Canis lupus familiaris: one gene and its partner. The protein of the gene in region 1 interacts with the protein of each later gene in a pairwise test. Links are inferred from orthologs where the notes say so. Each region holds a gene or a part of one and is shown in the gene's direction. Other genes may lie near its edges. The genes, in order: CCNK and CDK18.

Region 1 (3,814 bases):
CGTTATAAATAGGACCCCCACCACCACCAGCACCAAGAATTAAATCAGATACTGTAGACAAAATATATAGTACTATCTCTGTACTGAAACGGCTCTTAAATATTTTTATTTAAATGTTGTTTATTTGTTTGGCTCTTCAGAGGTTTTCTGTTTGTTTCTGTTTTCATTTAAATGTGTAGAGTTAGCCGTTGAGTGAGTGACCATCAGGAGGAAAACAAGTATTTGGTGATCATAGTTGAAGTGTGTCTAAAGAGTGGTAGAGCCCTGCCTTGTTACAAGTGTAAACTTCAATTTGCTAATTCTCATGTCTGAGTTCTGATACCCTGAGATCCCCTCCCCTCTTAATTACTGATAGTGTTTATCACTGATTTTGTTGTTATTGTTTGTCTTTATTTTTCCTCATTTAACTAATGGCATAACCTGTAACAATTCTCAGTAAAGTCCTTAACCAGAACAACAGACACTATGATACCCTAGCAACTGGAATAATTTATTTTCATCGCTTCTACATGTTTCATTCCTTCAAGCAATTCCCAAGATATGTAAGTATTTGAATTTTGTTCTAATTCTCTATCACATGTTGTTGTTTTCACAGTTTAGTGGACTGATTATAGTCTCTCTTTATTCTGTTTTCCAGAAAGTATATTTATAATAATACATGGCTATCTATAAGCAGTCAAGTTTGAATTTTTGTTTTTTCCAATTAACTATATTCAAGTCTTTTTTTATTTAGGCCACTGTGGATGATCATAATCATATTGCACTGTGTGGAATTTACTTCCTTACCTTTCACATGATAAATTTGGGCTTGTAATTGAGACCCAAAAAAAGGCCAACCAAAATGGAAGAGAAGTTCTTTACGCCAAATTACTTATTCTTCAGTTACTCCTTAAACATGCCGTATGTCTTACACTCTTTGGGAGAGTCAGTCAGGGAACGTGCCTTGAGTAGCCAGGATAGAGGGGATGACACGTACAGAGCACATGGTCAGTGAAGCCGTAAGAGAGGTAAGGAAAGAAGGCTGGAGCATTCAGAGGGTAGAGTAATACCTCCTAAAGGGATCAGGGAAAATGCCCCGAGGAGTTGCCAGCAGGCAGCTAAGCCTTGGCTGCAAGCAGGGCTTAGACATGCTGCAATGAGGCAGAGCAGTTAGTCCGACAGAAGCTGGTGTGAGCAGAGACACATGGAAGCGCACTATTCAGAGTCAGCCCAACCAGGGAGTCCATGTGGCAGGAATGGTGGAAAAGTAAGCTGGATGGGCCCATGGTGAGCCTTGAATGCTGGATCAGGGAAATCTGACGTTAGTAGGTAGATTGTGAAGTTGTCCAAGGGTTTCATAAGGAGGATGACAGGAGACTTACTAGGAAATTCACCTGTTGGGGATCCTTCCTCTTGTTTAAGATTTACTTAGTGTTGTACACATGTCTTACATACTGATTTGTGAAGTTCTAGAGGAAGAAGCCCGTGGCAGAATCAGCTTGGTGCCCTGTCTGATGCCTACTGCCCTTGGGGTCCCATGGAGAGAGGGCTGTGCCAGGGAGGCGGGCAGAGGCCAAGCAGTGAGAAGGCCAGTGATATAGGCACTGCATGTGGGTCCAGACAGCTGCACCAGTGGGAGAAGGTGTAGGAGATGGAGTCTACAGGACGGGCACCTAATTGTGCTCTTTTTCTGCAGCAAAGCTCACTGTTCAAGGAGCCATTATTAAGTTTGCAATGTAAAAAGAAAATGTGTTCCTATGATTCTTTTCCTTTCTGGCATCTACTTTTTTCACATGACATTTTCTTTAGAAAATTAAATTTTAAATAATTTATGAAGCCAAATTGGGAAGACCCAAAATCCTTGCTTCTGTTTCTCCATGAGTTTTGTTAACAGTATCTCAAGAAATTTTGTCTCCCTTTTAGGTGACGGGAGCTTGTTGTCTCTTTCTGGCTGGGAAAGTAGAAGAAACGCCAAAAAAATGTAAAGATATCATCAAAACAGCTCGTAGTTTATTAAATGATGTACAATTTGGCCAGTTTGGAGATGATCCAAAGGTAAGAATCTTAACTTCCTGCCTTCAAATCTTGATTCCTCGTGGTAGCATGGTGTTAAAGCTCTGTGTGTGGCCTCCGTGTCTGCCAGTCCCCTGAGCCCTAAGAAGGTCCTGTGCAGAAGGTACTTGTACTTGCTTCTGTCAGAGGAAGGAAGGTAACGTGGCATACACTTGCTAATGCATATCACTCCCTCATTTTGAGTACTTTCAGGGGCCCTAGCACAGTGTTTATGAGCAGAAATCCTCTCCTCACCATTAGCACTCCTAGACTGAGAAGCAGTTCAGCGGAGATGGCAGGGCCACGGCTCCAGCCAGCTTCTGGCAGCTTTCCTCCACCCCTGACTCTTGTCAGGGTCAAGTTCCACCCCCATTGTAATCCTTGTGGCACCTGCATGCTTCACAACATTGATCACAGCTGGTGGTGAGATAGATTTTAATCAGATCATCACACAAAGAGTTCTGGTCTTCTCAACTACAAGATCTGTGAGAGCAGAGACCATGTCTGTTTTTCCCTGGCACCTTGTACAGAGGCTGAGCGGAGTAGGCACTCAACAGCTACTTGAATGAATGACAAACTCAAAAGCACAGGTAGAGAAGAACTAATGAGGGCAGGGGAGTTCGGCACTGTCCACAGTCTTGCTTTTCCTCCCTCGCTGCTACTGCCCGCCACAGTAGACACCTGTGTCTGCCAAGCAGTGTTTATGTGTGTAAATAAAACATGTTCGTTCTCCTTCATGCTTCAAGGAGGTAACAGAGGCCCAGAATGCTTTTGTATATGTTGTATTTACAATGAATACTAACTTTATAAGTATTGTCAACATGGGTAACTCTGTTTCTTAAACTGATTTATAAATCCGTTCACCTGTTTCTAAAAATGTGAGTCAATTAGGAATTCATGCTAACGGTGATCAGAATGCAATTTAATAGAATACCTGTGGGTGTCTGATTTTTACATAGTAGGAGACAGTTGTAGGAATGTGTTATGGGCATGTGGCACTGCACTGGTGTGTGTTATCCTAGAGTGCCTTTGGGTGTGTGTTATCCTAGAGTGCCTTTGGAGAAGTCCCCTTTTACCTTTACACCTTTACCCACTATACCTTCAGATGAGGAAACTGAGACCCAGTCGGGCACAGTGAGGTACAGGTTCTGCAGCTCCAGTGCCCCCAGATGATAGGAAGGGGGGAATGAGCATACTATTCAGACTTTTACTGCAGGGTCCAGCCTGCCCCTCCTTTCTATCATGTGCGTCTTCCTAGAAATAATCTGGAGTACAGGGGCCAAAGGAAAGCACAGTGAAGTCACTGTGGAAGACATTTCCCTTGCCAGAGAGGACAGCGAGCAGGGCAGTTATTTGTGGGAGGCATTGTAAGCAATTAGGAAAAAGATTATGAATCATGTGGGACTTTTTTGCCTTTATGAGCTTTGCTTTAACTGTGTGTGCCTCCCCCCACCCCACCCCCCGCCCCATTACATTAATTACTCGTATGTTCAACAGATACTCTAGCCACCACTATGTGAGACTCTAGACCTAAAACAGGTGGCAGGACAGTCATGGCCTTTGCCATTCTCATGGATTTTATAGTGGAGTTGGGATAGATTTTAATCAAATAATCCTATAACTATCTGATTATGAGCTGTGATGAATGCTATAAAAAGATTATTTAAAGGTGCAATGAGGGCATTCAGCCTGGGCACCTGGACAGGTCCCCCAGACAAGAGTTGTGGGGCTGAGGGAAGGTTCCCTGAGGAATGATGCTTGCACACAGACCTATAATTACCCC
Region 2 (3,814 bases), on another chromosome or scaffold:
GGATTTTCAGGGCAAGATACAGAAGGAAGGGTCTGCGGGAAGAAGCAGTCTAACTGCGTGGCCAGCAGGGTATCCCCTCACTCAGAGGGCAAGGGGGCTGGGGGGCCTCAGGGAAGGAGCCCCTTCTGGCTAGGGAAGGGGCCTTGAGGGGACCAGAGTAGCCCACCCTTCTCCCTCACTGTGTACCCTGCCGACTGGACACCCTGCCCCATCAGGGCTCTGGCGTGAGAGGGGCTCGGCTTCCTGTCCCTGGGGCCCTCTTTTTCCAGCAAACTTCTGTGTTTCCCCTGAGACGAGCTCCCGACCTCCCATATTTCAGCTGGAGAGCTGGGGCTGGGCCAGCTCAGAGGCACACATCCCCTCCCTTTGTCCCCTCTCTTTTCCCGTCATCCAGGGACCTAGGGCCAGCCAGAGAGGGACCTCCAGGGGTCAGTATCAGGATGAAGTGGGGTTTGGACCAGATTACGTCAGAGGCTGTAGGCCAAGCTGATGCTCAGCTTCTGGGCGTCAATCAGTAAGGCTTACCGACTGTTGACATACTCAAGCTCTTACACACAAGTTAGTAAAGAGCTATTGGCCCAAGTTCTGGTCCACTCCCTGCCCCTCCAGGCCTCTTTTGAGAACTCTCTAGACCTCCAGCAGCTCACAGGTTACTGTCTAGTTTTGGTGAGGCCCTCAGGATGCTGCTGGCACATCATTATGAGCAGTACTTTGCTATACTGACCAATGCATAGTGTGACCACCTTCCCAGGGGCGGTGGAGGGGAGTGTCCGGGGGGAACGGGGTCCACAGGGAGGAGGAGGGCGAGGTCCTTGAACCTTGGTGAGGAAGATGCAACCCCAACTCCCGAATGCAGGGCCCCAGAGCTCAATGGGCAGTTGGGAGACCAAGACCTCGGAATTCTCGGAATTCTCGCATCCAGTGTGTGCTGGCCTGACGCCTCGTTCTCACCTGCTCTTCTCTGCTCCCCCGCCTCAGGCCCCACTGCCTGGCCCCTGCTGACCATGAACAAGATGAAGAACTTCAAGCGCCGCCTCTCCCTGTCAGTGCCTCGCACCGAGACTATCGAGGAGTCCTTGACTGAGTTCACAGAGCAGTTCAACCAGCTACACAATCGACGCAATGAGGGTGAGGGTTCCGGCTGCCCCCCGCACCCCTTTGGCCGCCCCCTGCCCCTCTGGGCCCCCCCCCCTGCCCTGCACAGGTCCCTGCCCCTTCCCTTCCCCCCCGGGGACAGAGGGGCTGGGTGGGCAGCTGACACCTGTCCCTCTCAGATCTGCAGCTCGGGCCTCTCAGCAGAGACCCCCAGCCAGAGACCAGCACCTTCTCCCCGACAGACAGCGGGGAGGACCCTGGGCAGCCGTCCCCTGGCATGCAGTACCGGCGGCAGAACCAGCGCCGCTTCTCCATGGAGGTGAGGGGCTCTGGGCTCTCCCCTGTGGGTGCAGCAGGACACGCCAGCCACGCGTGCCCAAGGAGGGCGGTGGCCTGCGAGCCAACTTCATGGGTTCAAATCCCAGCTCTGCTGTTGATCAGCTCTGTGACCTTGAGCAAGTTTCTCAACCTCCGCATACCAGTCTCGTTGTGTTAAAATGGTCATCATGAAGATTAAACAAGCTAATATACCCCAAGCGCATAGAGCAGTCCTGGTATAGCGAGGGCTGGACAATTTGACCACTGTTCTTTTTTTTTTTTTTAAACATTTTATTTATTTAATCATGAAAGACACACACAGAGACACAGGCAGAGGGAGAAGCAGGCTCCACGCAGGGAGCCCGACGTGGGACTCGATCCTGGGTCCTCAGCTAAACCGCTGAGCCACCCGGGCTGCCCTTGGCCACTGTTCTTATGGCTTGTAGGCATTGCCCATGTGTAAGAAAAATAGGCTCATGTCCGTAGGAATCTCATTCTATAGAGGGTTATACTGCAGCCCAGAGAGGGGAGGGGACCTCCTAAGGTCACACAGCAACTCCCGGGTGTTCACAGATGTCTCAGCATGTCTTTGAAGCAGCTGTGAGCCTAGGGTCTGGCCCTGCTAGGGTTGCTTCTATAGGGAATGCCAGCCCCAGGGTGAAAAGCAAGGGTCCTACAGCACCAGGTAACCCGGAGCAGACACTGGTGTCCCCGTCTCATCCCGGCTAATATAGGACATCAGTAAGAGGCTGTCTCTGCCTATGGACATCCGCCTACCCCAGGAATTCCTGCAGAAGCTACAGCTGGAGAGTCCAGACCTGCCCAAACCACTCAGCCGCATGTCCCGCCGAGCATCCCTGGTGAGTCCCAGGAGGGTCAGAGGTCACCAGGGTGGACCACCCTCTCTCCCCAGCATGGACACCTCAGTTTTGCCTGGTCCAGCTGAGGCCTGCAGCAGTTTGTGGGCCTCTGGTGCCACCTGCTGGCCTCAGCTGATTCACATGCTTGTGCTCCTTGGTCAACGTCCATTCCCTGGGTGAGCCCCCCCCCGCCCTCCCCAGGGCTGGAGCCCCACCGTGGTGAGACCCATAGAGCAGCTGGCATGTGCTTTCCGGTCGTGGCTGCTTATAATGTTTCCCTGGGAGCATCTTGCAGACATGGACTCTGGCTCCCACTCCAGATACCTACAGAATCAGAGTCCAGGTGGTGGGTCCCAGGAATCTGTATTGTTAAGGCTCGGGGACCACTTTTATCACGGGGTTAGGATTTGTGGCTGCCCTCATCCTTGCTAGCCTCTGTTGTTCCCTCCCCCTGACAGGGGGTCTCGTTCCCTTCCCTTCTGGAAGCTGATTGGGGGGTATCATGTATGTGGGGTTACTGGAGCCTTCCAGCTCATAGGACCCTATGTCTTTCCCTCTCAGTCAGATATTGGCTTTGGGAAACTGGAAACATACGTGAAGCTGGACAAACTGGGGGAGGTAAGAGACTGGGCAGGCCAGTTAGGAGCAGGGACAGACTCTCCCCCTGCACACCCTGTCCTGTCTTCTCATTGCCCCCGCCCCGTATAGGCATACCATCTTGGCTGTCCAATCTGGCCCAGCCTTTTGCAGGTGTTGAGGGGTCCCAGGTCCTCAAGAAGAAGGACATGAGGATGGAATGGGGCCCGTGGGCTCTGGGGCATAATCCAGTCTTTTTTTTTTTTTCTTTTTCTGCAAGTATTTCTCTGGATTCAAATCCCTACTTCACCATTTACTAGCACTGTGGCCTTGGGCAAGTTAGGTGACCTCTCTGTGCCTTAGTTTCTTCCTCTGTCAAATGGAGATGTAGTTGCTCTGCTTTCTGGAGTTGTCATGAGATCAGAATAGGTGACTATAATAACATTTATACATTTAGGCAGTGCCTGGCACATGGTAATAAACACTGTATGCCATTAGCGGTTTCTCTTACCACTGCACCCTGCTTCTGTGTTGGGGCCTTGTGGTGGGCAAAGGTTTATAGACAGGAGGAAGACACAGCCCTCTTCCCTCTAGGAAGCCAGGAAGGAGACCTACCTGTAAACACCAACATTGAGCAGAAACACAATGAGTGTTACAATAGAAGGGCACCTAGCCTGCTGGGGGCTCATGGGAAGGACAGTTCATTCTGAACAGGGAGGAGTGAAGGACAGAGTCACAGATGGGCCTTGGAGCAAACCCAGAATCTCCGTGAAAGGAGAAGAAGGGGGAAGGATACAGCCCAAGCAGAGGCCCAAGAGGAGGGCACTGGTTAGAGGAGCGTGGGCCCTGAGTGTGGCTGGTGCTGCTGGGGTTCTTGTCCCCAGGGTACCTATGCCACAGTCTTCAAAGGGCGCAGCAAACTGACGGAGAACCTGGTGGCCCTAAAGGAGATCCGGCTGGAGCAT

Evidence for each region.
Region 2: the proteins of CCNK (region 1) and CDK18 interact in binary tests that used the Homo sapiens proteins (3 or more experiments, as listed by UniProt). The two-hybrid records come from large-scale screens. The link is inferred for Canis lupus familiaris from reciprocal best matches to the Homo sapiens genes CCNK and CDK18.

What each region holds. Positions count from the first base shown.
Region 1 is NC_049229.1:68,322,456-68,326,269, forward strand, and holds part of CCNK (cyclin-K), read left to right. Parts: intron 1-460; coding exon 461-542; intron 543-1,902; coding exon 1,903-2,034; intron 2,035-3,814. UniProt on the Homo sapiens protein: Regulatory subunit of cyclin-dependent kinases that mediates activation of target kinases.
Region 2 is NC_049259.1:2,576,623-2,580,436, forward strand, and holds part of CDK18 (cyclin-dependent kinase 18), read left to right. Parts: intron 1-978; 5' UTR 979-1,004; coding exon 1,005-1,128; intron 1,129-1,274; coding exon 1,275-1,414; intron 1,415-2,147; coding exon 2,148-2,273; intron 2,274-2,834; coding exon 2,835-2,891; intron 2,892-3,733; coding exon 3,734-3,814. UniProt on the Homo sapiens protein: May play a role in signal transduction cascades in terminally differentiated cells.